Arabidopsis thaliana: one gene and its partners. The protein of the gene in region 3 interacts with the protein of the main gene of each other region in a pairwise test. Each region holds a gene or a part of one and is shown on either strand. Other genes may lie near its edges.

Evidence for each region.
Region 1: the proteins of SOB3 (region 3) and KIWI interact in a two-hybrid assay, tested with the Arabidopsis thaliana proteins (one large-scale study listed by BioGRID).
Region 2: the proteins of SOB3 (region 3) and AT5G62300 interact in a two-hybrid assay, tested with the Arabidopsis thaliana proteins (one large-scale study listed by BioGRID).
Region 4: the proteins of SOB3 (region 3) and LTP2 interact in a two-hybrid assay, tested with the Arabidopsis thaliana proteins (one large-scale study listed by BioGRID).

Annotation. Positions count from the first base shown.
Region 1 is NC_003076.8:2,872,206-2,878,381, forward strand, and holds KIWI (ssDNA-binding transcriptional regulator), read right to left. Parts: upstream 4,405-6,176; 5' UTR 4,275-4,404; intron 4,173-4,274; 5' UTR 4,164-4,172; coding exon 4,029-4,163; intron 3,917-4,028; coding exon of another isoform or gene 3,877-3,916; coding exon 3,771-3,876; coding exon of another isoform or gene 3,754-3,770; exon of another isoform or gene 3,400-3,753; coding exon 3,281-3,399; 3' UTR 3,276-3,280; coding exon of another isoform or gene 3,216-3,275; 3' UTR 2,983-3,215; downstream 1-2,982. Other genes in the region: SRT2 (sirtuin 2), read left to right, coding at 100-145, 255-415, 492-621, 701-865, 939-1,066, 1,139-1,238, 1,358-1,408; AT5G09240 (ssDNA-binding transcriptional regulator), read right to left, coding at 1,688-1,860, 2,219-2,330, 2,444-2,575; VPS20.2 (vacuolar protein sorting-associated protein 20.2), read left to right, coding at 4,592-4,693, 5,058-5,210, 5,364-5,516, 5,673-5,756, 5,915-6,047, 6,125-6,150. UniProt on the Arabidopsis thaliana protein: General coactivator that functions cooperatively with TAFs and mediates functional interactions between upstream activators and the general transcriptional machinery. Binds single-stranded DNA.
Region 2 is NC_003076.8:25,019,845-25,025,956, forward strand, and holds AT5G62300 (Ribosomal protein S10p/S20e family protein), read right to left. Parts: upstream 2,721-6,112; 5' UTR 2,512-2,720; intron 2,406-2,511; 5' UTR 2,392-2,405; coding exon 2,274-2,391; intron 2,010-2,273; coding exon 1,896-2,009; intron 1,687-1,895; coding exon 1,544-1,686; 3' UTR 1,356-1,543; downstream 1-1,355. Other genes in the region: AT5G62290 (nucleotide-sensitive chloride conductance regulator (ICln) family protein), read left to right, coding at 1-91, 324-432, 542-601, 694-759, 866-957, 1,057-1,128; IRE (AGC (cAMP-dependent, cGMP-dependent and protein kinase C) kinase family protein), read left to right, coding at 3,561-3,984, 4,097-4,164, 4,253-4,429, 4,510-5,766, 5,879-6,051.
Region 3 is NC_003070.9:28,702,437-28,708,674, reverse strand, and holds SOB3 (Putative AT-hook DNA-binding family protein), read right to left. Parts: upstream 3,713-6,238; 5' UTR 3,144-3,712; coding exon 2,235-3,143; 3' UTR 1,984-2,234; downstream 1-1,983. UniProt on the Arabidopsis thaliana protein: Transcription factor that specifically binds AT-rich DNA sequences related to the nuclear matrix attachment regions (MARs). Acts redundantly with AHL18, AHL22 and AHL27 in the regulation of flowering and regulation of the hypocotyl elongation.
Region 4 is NC_003071.7:16,125,085-16,130,880, forward strand, and holds LTP2 (lipid transfer protein 2), read left to right. Parts: upstream 1-3,091; 5' UTR 3,092-3,396; coding exon 3,397-3,743; intron 3,744-3,854; coding exon 3,855-3,864; 3' UTR 3,865-4,315; downstream 4,316-5,796. Other genes in the region: AT2G38510 (MATE efflux family protein), read left to right, coding at 1-361; LP1 (lipid transfer protein 1), read left to right, coding at 5,334-5,680. UniProt on the Arabidopsis thaliana protein: Plant non-specific lipid-transfer proteins transfer phospholipids as well as galactolipids across membranes. May play a role in wax or cutin deposition in the cell walls of expanding epidermal cells and certain secretory tissues.

The DNA of each region.
Region 1 (6,176 bases), on a different chromosome or scaffold from region 3:
TAATTCATTTGATCGATTAGTCTTGTCTGAAGATGCCTTGCATTCTCGTTTTGATGGTCTCATGGGTTACATGTGGTTCCATTTGATGATTTGGTGCAGTCCCAATGGAGCATACAGTTCTGGTTTCAAACCAATTACCCATCAGGTGATCTGAAGGCAAGATCTATGAAATCTTTACAGTTCTTAATGCAAACCTTGGATCATTTTACTATTGTATAACTGTATTAATCTATTGTCTACAACCTCCTTCACAGGAGTTTACTCGATCAAGCCGAGCTCGTAGGCGGTATTGGGCGAGGAGTTACGCTGGATGGAGGAGGTTCACTGCAGCACAACCAGGACCAGCTCATACTGCTTTAGCATCACTAGAAAAAGCTGGACGAATAAATTTTATGATCACACAAAATGTTGACAGGTATATCCTTCAGTTCCTCTTCCGTAGGATCTCTGTTGGATGTGAAGAATGTTGACTCTAAGCTCTAAGTTGTTAGGTTGCATCATCGTGCTGGGAGCGATCCACTTGAATTACATGGCACAGTATATACTGTTATGTGCTTAGAGTGCGGCTTCTCTTTTCCCCGAGACTTGTTTCAGGATCAGCTAAAAGCAATCAATCCTAAGGCCAGTGTATACCATAACCTGAATAAACTGGATTAATGTATCATCTCGCAAAGTTACAACGTTTTTGTTTCAACTGTAGTGGGCTGAAGCTATAGAAAGTATTGATCATGGAGATCCAGGATCAGAGAAGAGCTTTGGCATGAAACAAAGGCCTGATGGTGATATCGAGATTGACGAAAAGTTTTGGGAAGAGGGTTTTCATATACCAGTATGTGAGAAGTGCAAAGGAGTCCTAAAGCCTGATGTAAGATTGACTTAATCAGATAGAGACGAATCAGTTTAGCTCTGTTTCTTATTATGTTCTCGTTGAATTGAAGGTAATTTTCTTTGGAGACAACATCCCGAAGGAAAGAGCTACTCAAGCAATGGAAGTTGCAAAACAGAGCGATGCATTCCTCGTGTTGGGTTCATCCTTAATGACAATGTCTGCTTTTCGCCTTTGCAGGTGATGCAGGAGAATAATCATCCAGTTTTGAGTTTGCATCTTACTAAGAAGCTTTCTATATACCTTTTGCAGAGCGGCTCATGAGGCTGGTGCTATGACCGCAATTGTAAATATAGGCGAAACAAGAGCTGATGACATTGTTCCATTGAAAATCAATGCTAGGGTTGGTGAGGTATGAGCATAGCATAAAGCTCTTCCCTTTCCTTCAGCCTTGAAAATGCCTTAAATATCCATATTATTTCATGATTGTCAGCCTTAATAATTTGTCATTTCGTGATTGGTTTGCTGCAGATATTGCACAGAGTTCTTGACGTGGGATCGCTCAGTGTCCCAGCTCTCTAGCACAATGTCCGGATCATTTAAGTAAACTTTGGCAAGAGCTATGTTATCATTTAGATCACCTATATATATTATTTATAACTAATCAAAATGAATGCTTGTATTCCTGCAACGTATCTCAAGTTGTAAATCCAACATCAAATAAAAGAGTAATCAACATCAAATAATAGATTCAACACATGAACTAACTCGAAGCAGCTAACACTTGCAGAACATGGTGTTGTTCTGAAAAACAAACCAAAACAACCAAAGCCACCTTCCAATACCCGATTACACAAGCTTTTAAACCTCAGAAAGCTCAGAGAGGGCCTTATCGATATCCTCCTCATGGTTCCGAAGATCGTTCCACTGCATTAAGAAAAAGGTCTCGTGTAATAAGCAGGACATATGCACGTGTGGAAGACATAAACAATGGAAGAGAGATGTGAATACCTGTTCCAGGCTTAGAGAGATACCTGCAACATATAGGAGACATCGAAAATCTTGTCAACATGATTATGCAAAGAAAGCAAACTAATATAGCTGGCCCTAGGAGACAAAAACCAAGACGTTGTTGATGAAAAGAAAACACTCTGCGCATCTCCTCCTCTCAGTCCCAAACCGCAGAAGTACTAGATATATAATAAAAGTCCCTAAGATCTGCTAACTAAATGCAGAACCTTAACGAAACAAAACATGAAAACAAAGGGATGAGGATACATTGTTGACCATAAAAAAGAAAAGAGAGGAGGATACAGAGTATTAGCAAATGTGGAATTGTGAGAAGAAGAGAGACAGTCAAAAGAAGATATGTAGTTAAAAACAAAAATTTACCTTGCTTGCTATTACAAGGTAAAGTTATACCGTCCTTGACAAAGAACTGACGAATGGCAATCCAAATCCTCCCATTGCAATTCCTCACAAAGACTCTCCGATTCTTATCTAACTGGAATGTAAACAAAACATAACATCATAAACAAATATCACAACTTGATCCAAACCCTAAAACTCATACGAACTGCTACAGACAAAAAAGAGATGAATAGTAGAGAGACTAACATTGCAGATGAAGATGTCCTCAATCTCGTCCGCTGGCTTTGCCACTTTCTTAGGCGGCGCGTGGGTCTCAGATTCGTCGCGGTCGTCTGATGCTCTGACATCCTCGTCTTTCCTTTTTCCGTTCTCAGACATTTTCTTAACCTCTAAAAAAAACACTCTTCTACTGCAAAAATTGACTCTTGAGATTCTCAAGTTAAATAAAAAGCACCTCTCTCCTTTTCTCGCGTAATATATCTACTGCGTTCACCGAATTACAACTGTGATATCAGATTCGGAACGCCATTTTACAAGCGCACAGTTTGAGAACACGCGCGGCCAAACTTAAAACGGGGGAGTTTTTTGGGAAGGTAAATATTCTTTGGAAAAGAGCAACTATAGCAATGAAAGTAGCAACACAGAGTGATACATTTATTGTGATGGGTTCATCTTCAAAGACAATGTCTGCTTATGGCCTTGTCCGGATCAAGTGAAGTTTGGCAAGAGCTATGTAACATTTAGACCTATCTTGTTTATAACTTATCAAATGAATACTTGTATTCCTGCAACGTATCTTAATTTGCAAATAAAACAGCACTACAGCAGTAAATAAAAGAGCAATCATTATATTCTTAATACCAACCAAAGCTTGTCTGAACCAAAAGTGAAAGATTCCATACACCAACTAATTTGAAGCAGCTTACACTAGCAGAACATGGTGTTGTTCTACAAAAACAACCAAAACAACTGAGCCATATTCTAATAGACGTACAACCAATGATACAAGTTTTAAAACCTAAGAAAGGTCAGAGAGGGCCTTCTCGATATCCTCTGCGTGGTTCCGAAGAGTGTTCCACTGCATTAAGGAAAAGCTGTGTAATAAGCAAATAACAAGAAAACAGAAACACTTCTAGGAGACATAAAACAGTGGAGAGAGATAGAAAGAGATGTGAGTACCTGATCCACGCTTAGAGAGATACCTGCAACGTATAACAAACATAGAGATAATCTTGTCAACATGATTAGTTATGTAGAGATAAACTAATATAGCTGTCTCTAGAGAAAGACATGAAGGAGCAATAGCACCAAAATAAACAAAACGTTGTTGTACAAAAGCAAACACTCTGCACCATCTCCGCTCATACTTACAAGTCCATAAACAGTCTCAATAAGCAGAATTGCCTATTATAAAACCCTAAGATATGCAATTCTATAAACCTGACTAAATGCAGAAACTTAACAAAGCAAAACAGTAACGAAATATAAAACTAAGAGATGAGGAAACACATTACTAGAAATAATGAATTATGAGAGCCAAGGGGCATTGGTTTAAATTACAAAATAAAGTTACCTTTCTTGCCAGGCAAAGTCTTTCCGTCCTTGACATAGAACTCACGAATGTCAATCCAAATCTTCCCGTTCCAATTCCTTACAGAGACTCTCCTATTCTTAGATATCTGATGTATAACCAACATGAACCCTAATTTGATTAAAACCCTAATTTTGAGCAAAACACATCAACAAAATTAAAACTTGACCGAAACCCATAAGCTCACTGCTAATAGAGTAGATAACGAAATTGAAAGATAGACAGAAAGTGTAGACTAACGTTGCAGACGACGATATCGTCAGACTGGTCGGAATCGTCTGCTGGCTTTGCGACTTTCTTAGCCGGCGCGTGGGTTTCAGATTCGTCATCTGATGCTCTGACATCTTCGTCTTTCCTTTTTCCTCTAGAAGACATTTTCTCCAACTGTAAATAAGCAGACCCAAAATGTTCTCTTCAGACCAGAGTAAACTCGCACTAAACAAAAAACCGAGCAATTACAAAATTTAGTAAAAGTGAGAAGGAAACCTGGTCGTGACGCTGCAACGAGTTTCTCGGAGACGGCGAAAGGACTCTTCTACTGCGAAATCGACAAAAGAGAATTGAGAGATTCTGAAGAAAAATGAATCGGCGCGTCTCTTCTCGCGTATTTATGTTAATGTGTTCACCGACCACGCGCTGTTGCAGAGCGTGTGATAAAATTAGAACTGTGACAGTTGTTTTGATTCGGAACGCTTTTTTATAAACGCGAATTTGAGAAAACGCGGGAGCTTTTTTGCTTGGGAAAGGTGAAAACAAAAAGATTTGGACTTGGTTTGAAATCGCCGAACCCTTGACAAAACTCGATGGGGAATTTATTCGTGAAGAAACCGAAGATCACGGAGGTTGATCGAGCGATTCTCTCTCTCAAAACCCAAAGGCGCAAGCTTGGTCAATATCAGCAACAGGTTCTTGATTCCTTCGCCTTGTGATTTCGCATTTCTAGGGTTTATTCTTGCTCGAATTTGGTCTGAGACAGAAAGTGCAGTTTGATTCGATTCACTAATGGTTATGAATAAGGGTAAAGGTTACTGAATTTCGGCTATGGGTTCTCGAGGTTTAAGAAGCAGTTAAATGTAGAAGTTGCCTTCAGAATCTGTCTTGGATCCAAATGTTGATTCTTATGTCAAGCTAATGATGGTTTAATTATTTCATCGCCACTATTGGTAGATAGTGAGTTTGATCGCTGAGAAAGTGGAATGCAAATGTTTTTTTTTTCTTTCCTATGATCCTGAGCTTTGACCTTTCTTTCTCTTAAACCTTTCTTTTTAGCTTGAGAAAGTAATTGAAGCAGAAAAGCAAGCTGCAAGAGACTTAATCCGTGAGAAGCGAAAGGACAGGGCTTTGTTAGCATTGAAGAAAAAACGGACACAAGAAGAGTTGTTGAAGCAAGTAGATCAGTGGCTCATCAATGTCGAACAACAAGTAAATTGGCTTGACCTTCTTCTTATCATCTCCTTGTTTCCATCACATAACCTTAGTGCTATATAAACAGTACTTTTCTTTTCTTTTATAGCTGATTTTATGTTTTGAAAGAAACATAAACGAATATATTTTGAACCTGTCTTTATGACTCAGTTGGCAGATATCGAACTTACAAGCAAGCAAAAAGCAGTCTTTGAGAGCTTAAAGCAAGGTAACAATGCAATTAAGGCGATTCAGAGCGAGGTCAACCTTGATGATGTTCAAAAACTGATGGATGACACTGCCGAGGCCAAGGCTTATCAGGATGTGAGTTAATAGTGAATCTTGTTGTTCCTTTTTGTTTGTGTGGTTCGCTTATAGTTACAATCATTTGTCACATTTGCCGAGCTTCTCCTTGTTTTTCTCCTTCATGGTTATGAGTATTCCCTTGCTTGATCTAACTGTTAAACACTTTGATTTTAGGAACTGAGTGCCATATTAGGTGAGAAACTATCAGCGGAAGATGAAGAAGAGATCTTAGCAGAATTCGACAACCTAGAAAGTCTGGTATGCTACATAATGGATTCTCTTGTTTCTCAGATACAATTGTTTCCAGCATTATGACCGTACTGCCCTATTGATGTTTCGAGTACCACCATTTACTTTGTGAAACAATCTTCTTGAGTGGAGTCAAATGTGATATATAATGTTTGTTTGTTTTGAAGCTGATTGTTGAAGATATGCCTGAAGTGCCTACGACAGAGCTCATGCCTGAAGAACCCGAGAAAATGGATCTCCCTGATGTGCCAACAAAAGCACCAGTCGCTTCCAATGAAACCACTTCAACAAAGAGAAAAGGTTTTTGTGATGTTTGTTCAAGTAACAATTGCTTCATACAAAGAACCTTTAACTCATAGATGCTTTTGTTGTTGCAGTTCTTGAAGAACCTTTGGAAGCTTGATTCAGAAGTGAAGAATCTGATAGACT
Region 2 (6,112 bases), on a different chromosome or scaffold from region 3:
TAAAGGATACGCAGTTGATTTCTTATCAATATCGCTTCACGCTGTTTCTAGAGATCCTGAGGCTTATTCATCTCCTTGTATATATACTCAGGTATTCAACTCTTGCAATTTTTCTGGGTTTTGTTAGACTTGGTAGCTTAAAAGGGAATTAGTGTTGTTCTCGTTGATTGTGATTAGTTCTTAGGCCTGTACTGTAATGTTGCTTGTTGCAAGTGCTTGCTGGAATTTGAGAAAGTGGCTTACACGTTTTAATTGGATTTGAGAGGTGTGATTAAGTCTTTTCTGTTCTCATTTTGCTAAGTTTTTGGTTTAATGTTTTGAAGATTGAAGTTGAAGAAGATGAGGATGATGAGTCTGATTCAGAATCCACTGAAGTTTTGGACTTATCAAAGATCAGAGAGATGAGGCTTGTTCCTTCTGACTCTACCCAGTGTGAGTTGTTATGTAGCAATCTTTAGAGCTATTAGAATCGGCTGTTTCATTATATAAGAGTCTTGGATATTATTAAGCTGATATATCGTTTTGTCTTGTCATATGAAAGTGGAGACGCTGTTTGATGTATTCTGCGAGTGTGCTGAGCTGAATCCTGAACCAGTTCAAGGTAAAACATATAATTACTGGTTTAATAGTATCACTAATTGCATTTTTTGGTTACCTAGCCATTTATATCTTTGGTTTCATTGCATCTTTCAGAAGAAGAAGAAGAAAGCGGACATAATTGGGTGTTTAGTGCTGATCAGATGGATGTTCGTGGAGGAGGTAATTAATGTTTTCATATGACTTAGACCGAATTAAAGAGTGTGTTAATGTATTCATCTTGAATGGTACGAATGAAATGTGATGGTTTTCTATGTGTTTGCAACAGATGATGATGCAGAGTGGCAAATATCTCAGAGTCCGACTAGTGTAATTGGTCATTCCAATGGAGATGAAGGTCTTAATCAGCCTATGCTTGAGGTAATACAAAGTTACAAAACTCTGCTTTCAATTTTTCCTCTTTTTTTGTTTTTAAAAAATTGAGCGTGGTTTCATCTGCCTTTTGTATTCACACTGCAGCTCCAAATCAATGATCAGAGGTTTGAGGATGCTGAAGAGATGGTTCATGAAAGTGAGACCAAAGATCACTAGACTCTTCACAATTGTACTCGAAAACATAGTAGTTGTGTTATTTTAACGATGAAAGAGTTGTATTATGTTCAACGATAAAGTATTATGTTCGTGATACTTAGCTTTTCAATTTATGGCTGATTAAACTTTAATCTTTCTCGTAATAGATCTCTCAATTTGAAATGAGATAGCAAGTTGGTAACTTCATACAGAGTTATGTCATCGAGAGGGTCAAAAGATCTCAAGTTAAGAATAAAGGACGAACTTCTAATTAAAAAATTCAAAATCTATTAAATTAAGAAAACATAAGAACTTGGGTTTCACTACAACAAAACATTTGTTTTTTTTTTAACTCAAAAGGAATGTCGTTACGGGAAAAGAAGATTGTTTCTTAAGAGAATTTGAAAAGAGATACCAAAGCCACAGAAGGGTTGATCTACGAGTCAGCGATGGTGACCTCAACTTCAACACCAGGTTCAATGGTGATGGAGGTGATCTGCTTGACCACATCAGGAGAGCTGAAAAGATCTATAACTCGCTTGTGTACCCTAAGCTCGAATCTGTCCCATGTGTTGGTTCCTGTTTACAATACCAATAGTTAAGAGAGTTTCAGCAAATGTGAAGACACTTGCAGTGACAGAGTATAAAACAGTATTGAGCACAATCACAAATTCTAAGACCTAAATCCTAGGTTTAATAGAGCAAATGAACTAAGGGAGTGGTTCCAACAACAAGCTCTAGTGATTCTGAAGGCAATATAAAAGATGAGATGAGCATAATCATCATACCTTCACCACAAGGAGCTTTACGGGTAGTGATCTTGAGAACCTTGGTGGGCATTCTGACTGGACCCTTAACTCTCAGTCTCTTGTCCTTAGCTCCACGAACCAAATCAGTACACACTACATATCATTTTGTAGAAACAGAACAATAACAATAAATCAGTATCAAAATGTCCACTCTCAAACCATTCGAATCATCACTGAAGCAAATCGAAGTCAATAAATCTATCATCTTCTACTGAAAAAACTAAACCTTCAAAATTCACTAAAACTAGGAAAACATTGAATCCTCAAACATTCTTTACGGTTTTGAAAGCAGCTCAAAACTAAATTGCTGAAGCGAAATGATAAGATAATCAAAATAAAAGGATAAAAAAGAAAGACCTTTTTCCAAGTTCTTGACATTCTTGGAGGAGAGAGTAATTCTGATCTTGTGAATCTGCTCGAGTGGCTCTTCCAAACCAGCCTTCCCTGGTTTCATTGGTTGATACGCTGTCGCCATATTTGCAGCTTCTTCTGAAAACAATCACAAACACACCAACCAATCCATCACATTAACAAATGATCCGATAAACTCATGTAAACATGAAAAATATTAAAACTTGGATCAAGTGAAGAGAACCTGAGAGACGAACGAAGCTCGACGGCGGATTGCTTTTTGCTGCAAGGAAGGAAGGAGTCGAATGATTTAACCTAAGAGACGGTTGATTTAATATGAAAACCCTAATTTATATGGACTTGTTGGGCCCAAACAATATTCAGCCCAATAACTACAAAAATATTTGCTCTGTATTTTTCTTTTGTGTTTTGACCCAATTACTTGGAAAACAATTCATTTTATTAAAAAATACAAACCATGTTTGATTTAATTACATAAATTTTTGTAATGAATAAACGTGTTATTATAAAAAACAAATTAATATTTTTTAGAAGTTTTAACCAAAAATATCTTGGTACCGTGTTTTTTAGTCAACCCAGAGAAAACATCACGAACGGCTATTTTTTAAAATTAAACAAAAAAAAATTAAGTTCTTTGTTATTTCTAGAAAATGGGGAAGACATGCATTTGTTGGAAGCACGTAGTTTCGATATGGACACTCTCCCACATGATTATTCTTTAAGAACTATACAAATCATAAAATATCACCATTCATTAATAACTTAAGGTGTTGTAAGAATAATAAAGTCAGAAATTATAACTTTAGCACTATGGATATAAGAATACAACGAATAATCACAAATCACAACCATAATAAAATCTCTGTCTGACTTTTGAATTTGGAACTAATTTAGAATTATTTTTTGTTGACAGCAAATCTTTATAATTTAAAGATATTAAGTTAACATCAAATAGAAGTATCATACTATAACTATAGTCATATTGAATTAAAGATAACAAATTACCATAAAATTTAGATGTAAATAGTCAAATTTATTTATCTGCAAGAAGAACAAAAAAAATGGCGAATGAGCCAATTTTTGCATCAAGTAGTAAAAACGGAGTCCCCCACTTCCCGCGAAAACCTCAGTCTCTCTCTCTCTCTCTCGCAACCGCTTCTCTGTAATCGTTATGTTTTGATAAAATCACAAAACAAACAAACAAACAAAAATTAAAAGAGTGTAAATATGAAAATTCAAATAATTCTCCACAAATTTTTCTATTAATAACAAATGTCTACGACGGAACCGTCGCCTGAGAATGATCGGGATCCACAACCGACCACCATATCTACTCCGACTTCCACCAATGCGAAGCTTCTGAAGAAGATCCCTGCGATTCCTTTCCGCCATTCGGATAAGGAAGGAGAAGATGAACAAGCGAAGACGGACGAGGTTACTACGGAATTAGCTGGGGAAGGTCCGATGAGTCACGATTCGCCGGAAATTCTTGCTCCTTCTTCCTTAGGTTTGAATCATATCAGAACGAAATCGTCTCCTGCGCCGTCTCCTTTGAGATTTTCATCTGCCACGCCTTTGATATCTCCGGGTCAAGATGATAAAGACGTCGCCAAGGAGAAACCGAGGGTTGGTGTTGTTGATGCTCGTGCTGATGCTCGTGCCAGATGGCCGATTCCTCCACATCAACCCGATCAAGGTAGATTTCTCGTTGATTCGATTTAGGATTTATGAATTCGAAAATTCAACTTAGATGATGATGATTCAGAGGATCTTAATGATCAGGAGGTGTTTGTTGTTTTGTCTTTTAGGGAAAAAAGTTCAGTGGAGTCAATCAAAATCTCAACGAGTGCCTGCAAATTCAAATCCAGGGGTAGAGGTGAATGTCTTCTTCTATGTTTGTTTTTCAAATTCTTGGAAAATTTTATATTGCTGATTCGTTTTTTTTGTTGTTCTTGTGAATGCAGAGTACTCATGTAGGTCTTGCCAAGGAAACACAATCTCCACGTTTTCAGGCGATATTGCGTGTCACAAGTGGAAGGAAGAAGAAAGCTCATGACATTAAGAGCTTCTCTCATGAACTTAATTCTAAAGGTGTGCGACCTTTTCCCGTGTGGAGATCTCGCGCAGTTGGTCACATGGAGGTTAGTGTTGGTTGATGCTTCTTCTCACCTCTGATAAGTTCTGCTCATTTGGTTGATGCAATCTGTGGAACGTTTTACAGGAGATTATGGCGGCGATCAGAACGAAGTTTGATAAGCAAAAGGAAGATGTTGATGCTGATTTAGGAGTTTTTGCTGGCTATTTAGTGACAACTCTAGAGAGCACACCAGAATCTAACAAAGAATTAAGAGTGGGTCTAGAGGATTTGTTAGTTGAGGCTCGGCAATGTGCAACCATGCCAGCTAGTGAGTTTTGGTTGAAATGTGAAGGTATTGTTCAGAAGCTTGATGATAAACGTCAGGAGCTACCCATGGGAGGACTGAAACAGGCTCATAATCGTCTTCTTTTCATTCTTACTCGTTGCAATAGGCTTGTGCAATTTCGTAAAGAGAGTGGTTATGTTGAAGAACACATTCTGGGAATGCACCAGCTAAGTGATCTTGGAGTTTATCCTGAACAGATGGTGGAAATCTCGCGACAACAGGACCTTCTTCGAGAGAAGGAAATCCAAAAGATAAATGAAAAGCAAAATCTAGCTGGTAAACAAGATGATCAGAACTCGAACAGCGGAGCTGATGGAGTGGAAGTAAATACTGCTAGAAGTACTGATTCAACTTCGAGCAATTTTCGGATGTCATCTTGGAAGAAGCTTCCATCTGCTGCCGAGAAAAACCGTAGTCTTAATAACACTCCCAAGGCTAAGGGGGAGAGCAAAATCCAACCAAAAGTTTATGGTGATGAAAACGCTGAAAACTTGCATAGCCCGTCAGGCCAGCCTGCATCTGCAGACAGAAGTGCTTTGTGGGGTTTCTGGGCGGACCATCAATGTGTGACATACGATAATTCTATGATTTGTCGTATCTGTGAAGTTGAAATACCAGTTGTACATGTAGAAGAGCACTCTCGAATATGCACAATCGCTGATAGATGTGACTTGAAGGGAATAAATGTAAACTTAAGACTTGAAAGAGTAGCTGAAAGTCTTGAGAAAATTCTGGAGTCATGGACGCCAAAGAGCAGCGTAACTCCAAGAGCAGTTGCTGATAGCGCAAGATTATCAAATTCCAGTAGACAAGAAGATCTGGATGAAATCTCTCAGAGATGTTCAGATGACATGCTTGATTGCGTTCCTCGTTCACAGAATACATTTTCTTTGGATGAACTGAATATCTTGAATGAAATGTCTATGACCAATGGAACAAAGGACTCGTCAGCAGGAAGCTTGACACCGCCATCACCAGCAACACCAAGGAATAGCCAAGTAGATTTGCTACTAAGTGGTCGAAAAACAATATCAGAGCTTGAGAATTATCAGCAGGTAAATGTTTACATTCTAATAATTCATGCTGAAACTCTCAATTACTTCTTTCTTTATTTCAGCTGAGTATTCCACTTCTCCTTTACTTTTATCTTGTGCTTTGTGTTGACAGATAAACAAGTTGCTTGATATTGCTCGTTCGGTGGCAAATGTGAATGTATGTGGATACAGTTCACTGGACTTCATGATTGAGCAGTTGGATGAGCTCAAGTACGTCATTCAGGATAGGAAGGCTGATGCCCTTGTGGTAGAAACGTTTGGAAGACGAATCGAGAAGCTACTGCAGTAATCATTTTTATCATTTTCACTTGTCCTGCGTTTTTCTGGTCAGTACTTTTTAAATGCA
Region 3 (6,238 bases):
CATCTGTTTTCTCTGTTTATTTCAGTTTCAGGTTTCACATAAAGAAAACTTACAATTTATAGTTCAATCAAGTTAAATGGCTCCTATTGTAGGAGAGTACTGAAGTTTTATGGGCTGGAAGCTTTTGGGTTGAGTTAAATGGCCTGAAAATTAGGCCTTAGATGTGTCGTGTTGCTTTCGTGATCCACAATTGCATTCATATATATATATATATATATGATGAGGAAAGTCAAGAAAATTTTTTTTGAAGAAAAAAACTAAACATATTATTGCAACTTCCAATTTGCATTAGACCCAATATTATATATTTACATCTAACACGTTTTGTGATTTTTAGATATTCATGCTTATCTATTTTCTGTTGACATCAGACAAAAATTAGCAAAACATTCTATTGTAATAGTTAATAATATGTGACTATACTACTATAGTATACAATTTTTGTTTAAGTTCTCTCTTTTTACAACCGTGAGATTCTTGGTCGAATTCATACCAATCTTCAGAATTTATGAAAAAGTATGATATTATTTTCATGTAAAACAATTACAATAACAAATCATACTTAAAAATGTTGTAGTTCGAACCATGATCCTTTAAGTAACATATGTTCTTCAAGCTCTATGGCCCACACAATAGTGTAGACCTTCTTCTTTTTTGGGTGTAAAATAGTTAGTAGTCTAGATAGTGTAGAACATATGTTACTTAAAGGATCTATATATCTATCCAATCATAATTCGTATATATAGGGAAACCTTCACATTTACGTTTACTTATCAGCCGTTCGTATAAAACACACAATGAACAAGATTTCTTAACCCAATCGTTGCTCAACTGCATGTAAGGCACTTGACATGAGCACATGGATATCTTAAAAAGATAAAGTCACAGTGCATGTATCGAAAAGGTCTCAAAGTACATTACCCTTTATTCTCTTTACATGGTTGAAGCCCTAAAATGTCAAATATATGAAAATTATGAAAATAAGAGGTTTTTAAACCATCTCTCATTCTCATTGTATAACAGTAAACATGATGAGACTCCATTTCTTATATACATAAATGTCACCTGTCTTCTCTTAGAAGCTCATTGAAGATATTTCACCACAAATCTCCTTTGGACATGCATTGGTCATGTACAAGCTTTTCCTTTCACTTGATTTTCTTTTTAAATATACGTTTTCATACGGTCCATACATAGTTTCCCTAGGGACTTGATGCATTCCTCATTTTCACACATCTTTGTACTTAAAGCCCCACTTGGCTGTGTTGTTATAGACTTTCCTAATCCTCTAAAAGGAAACTGATAAATGAAACTCTGGGACAAATTTTTCATATTTTGGTTTTGGCAGGTCATGTAATGTTCTCGTGTTTAAGCCATTAACTTGTAACCGTCGAAAAATCATGTTTATATCGTTGTAACGGGTGGGCGAATCTTTTCTTATAATCGACAAAAATATAGTATGCAATTATCACAGTAACCGCTGTCTTTAAAACAAACTCATAAAATTCTAAATAGTTATTTAGTTTTTCGTAAAATTTCTAAAGCGTTATTTACTTTTTGGTAGATTCTTAACGCGTTATTTTCGTGATTAATTGATAAAAACGAAGAAATATTCATATTGATCTCATCGAAATACAATGTAGAACTCAGTTGGGTGAAACATGTACTAAATCAGAGATTCCATGCGTAAACAAGATATTCAATCTAGAGATTTTCAAATCATAAAATCTCGAAGATTCATGTATGGTATCTAGATGAATTAAAAAGAACAAGATGTTTGATTTGTTGGTTGATTACTTGATAGACATAGTAACATAGATTGAGTGATTACCTTTGATAACTACTCAAAAAGGGGATTACACATACCACATCCATGATATATACAAGTATGAGCCATTTCAATATTTCTATAAAATGTACTCAATAACTTTTTTGTTATCCAATTACAAAGGTAACTAAGTGATATATAAAAATTGGCTTCTAATAGCACTTTTATTGTGAACTCAAGCATATAACAAATAATATATAGGGACAGCACGAAACCCTAGTGATTAAAAAAGAAGAGAAAATGCAGATGGAGAAGTATATCATCTCAAGACGAATTCAAATATTCATATATGATCAACTAAATTAAAAACCAAACGATCCCCAAACAATGAAGATGATTTTTTTTTTCTTTTAATTTTGAGAAATGAAATTTGGTTACAGCTATGTTACGGACATAATTTTCAATTCTAAAAGGCTGGTCTTGGTGGTGCGGCTGCGGCTGCGGCTCCCCAACCAAGCAAATGAGGATCACCGGCAAACTGATCATAACCACTCATGTTACCTCTTAACTGTCCTTGACCGGCTCCAGATGGTGGTGATGATGACGTGGCCGGCGGTGGACCACCTTCTCCTCCTCCTCCCTCTCCAACTTCTCCTCCCTCTCCACCTTCTCCTCCTTCATCTTCAAGGGGAAGCCTTTCGAAAGTTGCATTAGAGAACGATGCAGCCATTAGTATCACTGGACCCGAAGCCACAAGCGGAGCCACCACGTTTCCTCCAATCACCTGACCTTGAACGCCGGAAAGAAAGATAGAAAGACCACCGGATCCTGGCGGCGCAGGGGGCGGCAACACCGTACCTGTGAGGGAAAGTATCTCAAACCTTCCATGTAGAGCCACAACACCTCCGGTTCCACCATTTGCCCCATGAGCCGCTGTCGTTGCCGGCTGCCGGAGACTGACGTTAGCCACCGTGCCGTTACCACTGAGAATGGAGACTCCTCTTCCTCTCCTGCGAGCGTAAGTGGTAACGCTCTCGACTATGTCGGCTCCAGATGAGACTTCAAGAACATGAGATCTAAGCACGTTGGGGCTATCTCTAGTCACTATCACCGGTGGCTTCGGCTTGTTCTTGGATCCCGGAGGACGTCCACGTGGACGTTTCCCGGTTGAACCAGAGGTAACTGGGTCGGAACCCGGATCCTTGTTGGAGTCAGATTCATCATCTGAATTCTGCTGCTGAGGCTGAGGTTGAGGCTGAGGCTGAGGCAAAGGGTGAAGTTGAGGCTGAGGTTGAAGCTGGTGATGAAGCTCAGGCCTGAAGAGGTTGTGAAAGTATCTAGAAGCTCCTCCGGATTGATCGTAACCACCGTCCATGGCAGCCGCATCTACTGACTCTTCTTGTTCTTGTGGCTCATATATATAAAGATATTGTGAGGGTGAAGATAGAATTCATATAAGAGAAACTTTGAGATCCATTGGAGAAGTCAAATTTCAGGAGGTGAGGAGCCAATAGCTTGAGTTGATCGGTTACACAAGCCGACAAAAACAGAGCTAAGAGACACAAATCTAAAGGGTATGCTTTGTGTGTTAAACCCTAACTCGCTTTAGGGCAAGAGAGGAGAGATTCTTCACCCGAGACGGTGTCGTATTAATTGATGTGAAAGAATTCTAGGGAAGCTTCAAATTAATTCATGTGCTGAGACTGAGAGTGAGTGACTCTGCAAGTACTTTTTTTGAACGAGGAAAGGGAAAAAAAAAGCAATAGACACACCGAAAATTTAGCTGAATATCATTCCTTTCGCATTAAAAAATAAAATACGCATAGGGGCATATATTAATATACGAATAATTGCATATTAATAATATACTTGAAATCCATGAAAAGACAAGGGTTTCGAGTTTTTCTTCTCTGGATATATGCGTTTCCCTTTTTGGCATATAGCTTCAAACCAAGAAAATAAAGGAAAACTTTTAAGAGTTAAAATTTAAAGAAAAAGGAAATTAAGAAATTTACAATTTAAAAGCCAAAGGTATATGAATAGGAGATGGAAGAAACATGCTGATATTAAATTGTTGGAATTTTTTTTTATTTTTTTTGATAAAGTTGTTGGAAATTATTATATAGAAAACAAACGAGAAGTCTAAATATAAATTATTGTATAAGTTTTTGAAAGTTACATATCAAATTTGTCCGCATAATAATGCAGTATTCCCTAGAAACAAATGTAATACTCCCACCATTTATCATTATATGCTGTTTAAAGTTAATTAACATATAGTATTAAAATTTAATTAAAGTTTCACTTCTATCTTTCATTAATACACAATTATATTTCTTTCATCAGTTAATACGTTAGAAAAACATAGATTTTTTTTTTGTCAATCTGTTAGAAAAACATAGATAAGACATGAAATTTTAACAAAAAAAAATATTTGCATTGAAAATATAAAATAAAATTTATCCTGAAACAAAATTAAAGTCTTAAAACGACACTTAATTGAAACAGAATAAACAGATGACAAAAAGTAAAATAAAAGTGAATCAAAAATGTTAGCCATGAATCGAATTGCCTTGAAGCGTGTGCATGTAACGCCTTCCATTATGAATTTCATCATTTTCTTTAAAACCGAGATTCTACCTATTCAAAACTAAATTCAGTTTCAAAATGTTTTTGGTCTTGGTCATATATTCTAAAACTAATTAAAAACTATTACCATGAGTGAGTGCACTTCAATTTTTATTAAACTAATTATAAATTATTATTGATAGTAAAAAAAATATAGACCAAACTATTTATTATCAATGTATATTAACTTTCTAAGTTAGAAATTCATGAAATTCGATATAATCTACATAAGGTACCCCAAAAAAGTGTATACAGATTTTAAGTGGGATTTGTTTAAAATAAACATATAAAAAGCATCATCTCTCCAGTGACATGTGTTAAGTTTCTACATTGAAAATTTCATATTTACATCAAAAGTTTGAAAATATCAATATTATATAGGGTAATATTAGAAAGTAACCATGGAATTGAAAAGAATTGAGAGAATAGCCTTGTGTCAGGAAACTTAGGTAAATAACATTTTCTATGGTGGATAAAATACTAAAATATCCTTAGATTTTCTTGTTTTTACAAAAATATCGGTGGTTGTAGTTATAAAGTTTTTATGTATTTGTCTAAAATAATATGATATATTTACAAAAGAGCATGCAATTCTTTAAAATACATACAGAATATATATACACGATATATATGTTTCTCTGAAATAATGTGTTTTTCAGAAATAGCACGAAATATTTATAAAAAGCATGCAATTCTCTTATAGATTGCGAAATTTAAAAAATTACAATATTACATGGGTTTTTATTGGATAACATGACAAATATTTATTTATTTCATGAGTTTTTGTTGGATAGCATGACAAATATTAATATATTAGTGTTAATAACATGTTTTGTTCTTAAAATACATGCATTTTAAAATCAGATATTTGTTTTAAAATCAAATTTAATCTCTTATATCACAACGACATTGACGGAGAATTCAGGTAAAAAGAGAAAATAAAGAATGAGAGATAGAGAGATTTCTATGGAAAAAGAAAGAGAGAACATGTGGGTGAACAAAAATAAAGAGATATGATGATATATTTTATGAGAGGTGGTGAAGATTATTTTAGGAGAGGGAGAGAGAAATAGAAAAAGAAAATGACATGGTGAATCTGAAGAAGATGAATTGTGTTAAAGATGAAAAGAGAAAGAGAACTCTATGGCTAAAGTCTCGTAAAGAACATGAAAAAGAAATAAAAGAAGGAAGAAGAAAGAGAAAGGCTAAAATAGACTAAATATTGCCAAAATTTCTGTAACCGACAAGTACTATTTGGTTCTAAGTTATTTTGTGTATTCTTTTCAACTCAAAGGTTATTTCTTACATATAAATATGAGTCAAACCATTCTTTGCTTTTTTTGCAATTTATGAAACACATTTTTAGTATGTTAATAATTATAATCTAAATGTCTTTTAAATTTTATCAAGTATAGAAAAAATTAAGACGTTTTTTTTTTCTCTTTTTTTCCTGTCAACGATGTTCATTGGACCTCCTCTCTCAGTCTTTTGCTAAGAGGTGGAACTTAACATTTATTACACTATGCGATAATGTATTGCAAATTAAATGTCTTTTCAGTATTCTAACATAGAAGAAAATAATGATCGAGATTCATTAGTTTTGTAATCGAACTCTCGTGTTTAGAACACCACTTATTTTAACAGATTTGAGCTAATATGTTCATTCTTTCAAACGTTGAATATGAACTATATTTAGAAAACTATTGTTATACATAATTGCTTTCAACGTTTAGAATACTTTTAATTATTTAACCATACATTAGTTGGTTAATTAATTAACAGCATTTAATATTAATTCGCACACATATTCCCTCCTCTATGCTACTACTTGATCTTGGTAGT
Region 4 (5,796 bases), on a different chromosome or scaffold from region 3:
GACGGCTGCTTGCGGAGTCTTGACTGGGACGGCTAGGCCTAAAGATGGAGCACGCGTTAACCTATGCGCATTCTACATTGTGGGCTTGCCTGTGGCAGTTACGACCACGTTTGGGTTTAAGGTTGGGTTTCGTGGGCTATGGTTTGGACTGTTATCTGCGCAGATGACGTGTTTGGTAATGATGCTTTATACGTTAATCCGTACGGACTGGTCTCATCAAGTGAAGCGGGCAGAGGAACTTACCTCCGCTGCAGCCGACAAAAGCCATTCGGAAGACGAAACCGTCCATGCTGAAGTACAAGACGATGATGATGTGAGTAGCAATGATCTGGAGATTGGTTTACTACAAAATACGAATTGACTAGTTTAGCTAGAAATGTTAAAATTATCAATCGACAATTTTTAACGGATTGTTAATGATATAGGAAACTTTTTTTTTTTGGCAAACTAAAAATACCGAAGATAGATTTGTGTCCGAACTGTTAACTAAGATTTTGTGAAAAGACTCAGCCATTTAATTGGTTGAGCTTAGCTTTTTCTAACACGCAGAAGTATGTAGTGAGAACAGTTGTGACGAATCTATCAAGGATCAATCAAGATCAATCACAATTCTACTTATGTAAACTATATATTCTGTAATTAGAAGTCTCTAGAACATCTAGTCTGTATATAAACAATGTAAATCATCTCAATACAAATCATCCAATTCTATATTCTTTATATGGTATCAGAGCATCATCGATACCTAAAAATAAAAAACCTAAAAACAGCCGCCTCTCTCCTTTCTTTCTTCTTCTCCCCCGTTGATTTTTTTATTCCTCTGTTTTTCAAACTTCAACCATGTCGAATGTTTCTTCTGAAACCGTCAACCTCAACAACACCTCCATTGTTCACATGAACATGTCGAATGTGACAAAACTTACGGCCTCCAATTACATAATGTGGAGCCGCCAAGTCCACGCTCTCCTTCACGGCTACGGTCTCACTCAATACCTTGATGCGACAAAAGCTGCTCCAGCTCGTGAGATTACCGTCAACGACGTTGCCTCTGTGAATCCTGAGTATGAAGCCTGGAGTAGACAAGATCAATTGATCTTCAGTGCTCTCATCGGCACTCTCTCTCTCACCGTCCAACCAACGGTGTCCCGCGCCGCTACCTCTGCTGATGTTTGGGCCACTCTTGCTGGTACCTATGCCAAACCGAGTCGTGGCCATATCAAACAGCTCCAACACCAAATCAAACAATGGAAGAAAGACACCCGCACCATCGACGAGTACGTTCAAGGCTTTATCAATCGATTTGATCAGTTGGCATTAATTGGCAAAATCATTGACCATGAAGATCAAGTTGATTACATTCTCGGGGGTCTGCCAGAAGACTACAAACCCATTGTTGATCAGATGGAAGGACGTGACACACCACCAAATGGATGTTTAACAAACAGTTGTGACGAAGATGGATGTTTTATCCAAATGGCTTTGAATAGTGTATAGAACAAGCAACAAGCCCGATTCGGCCCAAACCCAACCCCATTTAATCATATGTGGTTTTAGTAGTTTAAATAAGCTACTTTGAGTCTTTGACAACTGTTCTTCATATCCATCATAAATTGTGTAGCATTTTACATTTTACATTTTACGTTTGAAACTTAATCATAAGTTTTGTGAATCAAAGTTAATTGATAAAAAATCACTCTTAATACTTTTCCACGTCTACATCACTGTCATTTTCATTTCAGACTTGAGGCATTCATTTTTCACCATGTTTCAGGAAATATACTGCAATTTCTTACACGTATAGAGAGGTCCTTAATAAGTATGAGTAGCTATATCGTAATGTATTTATACCAATGTACTTTATGCTCACACGTGTTCGGTGTACATATAATATGTTGCATGTGGCATTTCGGTGCCTAATTATCAAGTTTTTACCGAAAATAAGGGAAAAGTATATAATCATGTAGCCTTTCAGACACCGACAAAAATTTTAAACAGTAAATACGATTTTTCTGTTCTTCTTAAACAGAAAATGATTAAACATGAATGAAACTTTTAAAAGCTTATTTTGACGACGTGTTCTTTAGCCAAATAGACGACATTTAAACACATCACCGGACCGGAAAAACACCAGTTGAAAATAAAATAAAAAATGTATTTGTAAAAGTCTGTTATTACAAGAAAATATGGTCGATCGTTCCATGTTTAATTGTGTTTCTTGACACTTTTTAGTTCTTATAAAACACCTTTACTACATAACTTGATAAGTTGGATGAGAATAAAGAATTATAATAGATTCTCATAAAAATAACTTTATAAGATATATTCTCTCTTATATATATATATATATATATATTATGAGATTTCCTAATCTAAAATAAAAATAAATGTAAATAATATATATAAATATTACTAAAACTAATATATGTTAATATTTTAAATCTTTCTACAATCTTTATGATTTTTATATTGTTCGACGATCATCTCAACCATTGACTCTCGATCTCCAACTACAGATAAAGTAAAATTTTACCAAAGAAAAGTCTAGTGACTCATCATACCAATAAAAAACACACAACACCTAGTTTTACCAAAATAAGACTAGAAATAGTACTATAGTAGTTATGGGACGATGGAGTGATGGTTTTGCAAAGCAAAAGCCAATAATTGTACATTTCAGGCCGAAACCGACAATGACCCCATCCTACCCATGTGTCATGCATTCAGTATTTATTATGTGTATCAGTCAAATTTTCACATAATGACGAACCATCTACATACAATCTATGGCGTGGCCTGTGGAGGGCAGGACAAACCGACATAATATTGTGTATATCCACTGAAATTTATTATTAAAAAAAACTAATACAATGATAAGTACTAGTATTAGTGATAAAAAAAACTTATACAACGTTGTTTTCATCTTACAATTAAAGATATTCATAAACGATAAATCTCTACTTCGAAATTTTTTAACATCTCCAAATGTTTGTTCAAGCTAGTAGTAGTCCACATAAAGTCACGTTGGGGTTTCAGGCTTTCGTTAAAGATTCACACCGTCGGATTGGGATTTCCAGACGTCACAGATAGACTTATCTTCTTCGTTAAATTTAGAATCCAAAGATTATTGTCTGCACACTCGTTATTATCTAAAACAGCCTTTTTTAGTTAAATTGACGATATTTTAGTGACATTCCAATTTTAAAATTCGTATGGGTCTACATTAAATGAGTACAGCGACCAACTACTCCTTCCCTCATAGTAGTATTTAGGTATTGCATTCACATTACATAAGATGTACTTTCCTACTCTATATAAACTCTCACTCCCCTAACACTCTTCATCATCCATCACATCTCCTCTTGCAAACCAACGTAAAACACTAACTAAGAGATCAATATGGCTGGAGTGATGAAGTTGGCATGCATGGTCTTGGCTTGCATGATTGTGGCCGGTCCAATCACAGCGAACGCGCTTATGAGTTGTGGCACCGTCAACGGCAACCTGGCAGGGTGCATTGCCTACTTGACCCGAGGTGCTCCACTTACCCAAGGGTGCTGCAACGGCGTTACTAACCTTAAAAACATGGCCAGTACAACCCCAGACCGTCAGCAAGCTTGCCGTTGCCTTCAATCTGCCGCTAAAGCCGTTGGTCCCGGTCTCAACACTGCCCGTGCAGCTGGACTTCCTAGCGCATGCAAAGTCAATATTCCTTACAAAATCAGCGCCAGCACCAACTGCAACACGTATGTGATCTTTTCACTCTTATAAGTATATGTTATAAATTTTTTAGTTTATTTTGTTAAATATTGGAAACTTATATTAACGTTGTTATGTTAATTTGTATGTGAATGCAGCGTGAGGTGATGAGCGACGGTCAAATGAAGCTACTAGCGGATGTTTCGAATATTATATAATCGATGAGATAATATTAAATAAAGATGTTCGAATGGCTGTACTCTTTTCAATTTCCTGTCTTTTTTTATCGTGGCGTTTCTATTATGTGATCGTCTGTACTATGTTCGCAAACAACGTTCTTTGAATTTCAGACTTGAAGTTTAAGTTATTCTATACTCTATATCTATACTAACACTTACTTTAGTTTAATCGATATGACCAAAATGATTAACTTGCATTACAGTTGGGAAGTATCAAGTAAACAACATTTTGTTTTTGTTTGATATCGGGAATCTCAAAACCAAAGTCCACACTAGTTTTTGGACTATATAATGATAAAAGTCAGATATCTACTAATACTAGTTGATCAGTATATTCGAAAACATGACTTTCCAAATGTAAGTTATTTACTTTTTTTTTGCTATTATAATTAAGATCAATAAAAATGTCTAAGTTTTAAATCTTTATCATTATATCCAAACAATCATAATCTTATTGTTAATCTCTCATCAACACACAGTTTTTAAAATAAATTAATTACCCTTTGCATGATACCGAAGAGAAACGAATTCGTTCAAATAATTTTATAACAGGAAATAAAATAGATAACCGAAATAAAGATAGAATGATTTCTTAGTACTAACTCTTAACAACAGTTTTATTTAAATGACTTTTGTAAAAAAAACAAAGTTAACTTATACACGTACACGTGTCGAAAATATTATTGACAATGGATAGCATGATTCTTATTAGAGTCATGTAAAAGATAAACACATGCAAATATATATATGAATAATATGTTGTTAAGATAAACTAGACGATTAGAATATATAGCACATCTATAGTTTGTAAAATAACTATTTCTCAACTAGACTTAAGTCTTCGAAATACATAAATAAACAAAACTATAAAAATTCAGAAAAAAACATGAGAGTACGTTAGTAAAATGTATTTTTTTGGTAAAATAATCACTTTTCATCAGGTCTTTTTGTAAAGCAGTTTTCATGTTAGATAAACGAGATTTTAATTTTTTTTAAAAAGAAGTAAACTAACTATGTTCCTATCTACACACCTATAATTTTGAAACAATTACAAAAACAAACAATGAAAATGCAAAGAAGGACGTAGGCACTGTCACACTACAAATACGTTAATAAAATGTATTTTGGTCGAATTATAACTTTCCATACGATAAAGTTGAATTAACATGTCAAACAAAAGAGATGAGTGGTCCTATACATAGTTAGGAATTAGGAACCTCTAAATTAAATGAGTACAACCACCAACTACTCCTTCCCTCTATAATCTATCGCATTCACACCACATAACATATACGTACCTACTCTATATAACACTCACTCCCCAAACTCTCTTCATCATCCATCACTACACACATCTCCTATTGCAAACGAACATAAAACACTACCTAAGAGATCAATATGGCTGGAGTGATGAAGTTGGCATGCTTGCTCTTGGCCTGCATGATTGTGGCCGGTCCAATCACATCGAACGCTGCGCTAAGCTGTGGCTCAGTTAACAGCAACTTGGCAGCGTGCATTGGCTACGTGCTCCAAGGTGGTGTCATTCCCCCAGCGTGTTGCTCCGGCGTTAAAAACCTCAACAGCATAGCCAAGACGACCCCAGACCGTCAGCAAGCTTGCAATTGCATTCAAGGTGCCGCTAGAGCCTTAGGCTCTGGTCTCAACGCTGGCCGTGCAGCTGGAATTCCTAAGGCATGTGGAGTCAATATTCCTTACAAAATCAGCACCAGCACCAACTGCAAAACGTATGTTAATCTCTCTCACTCTCTCAGATATTTAAGCTATAATTTGTTTCTTTTTGGGGTTAAATATTCGAAAGGTTATATTAACGGTGTTATATTAATTTGTATATATGTGGTTG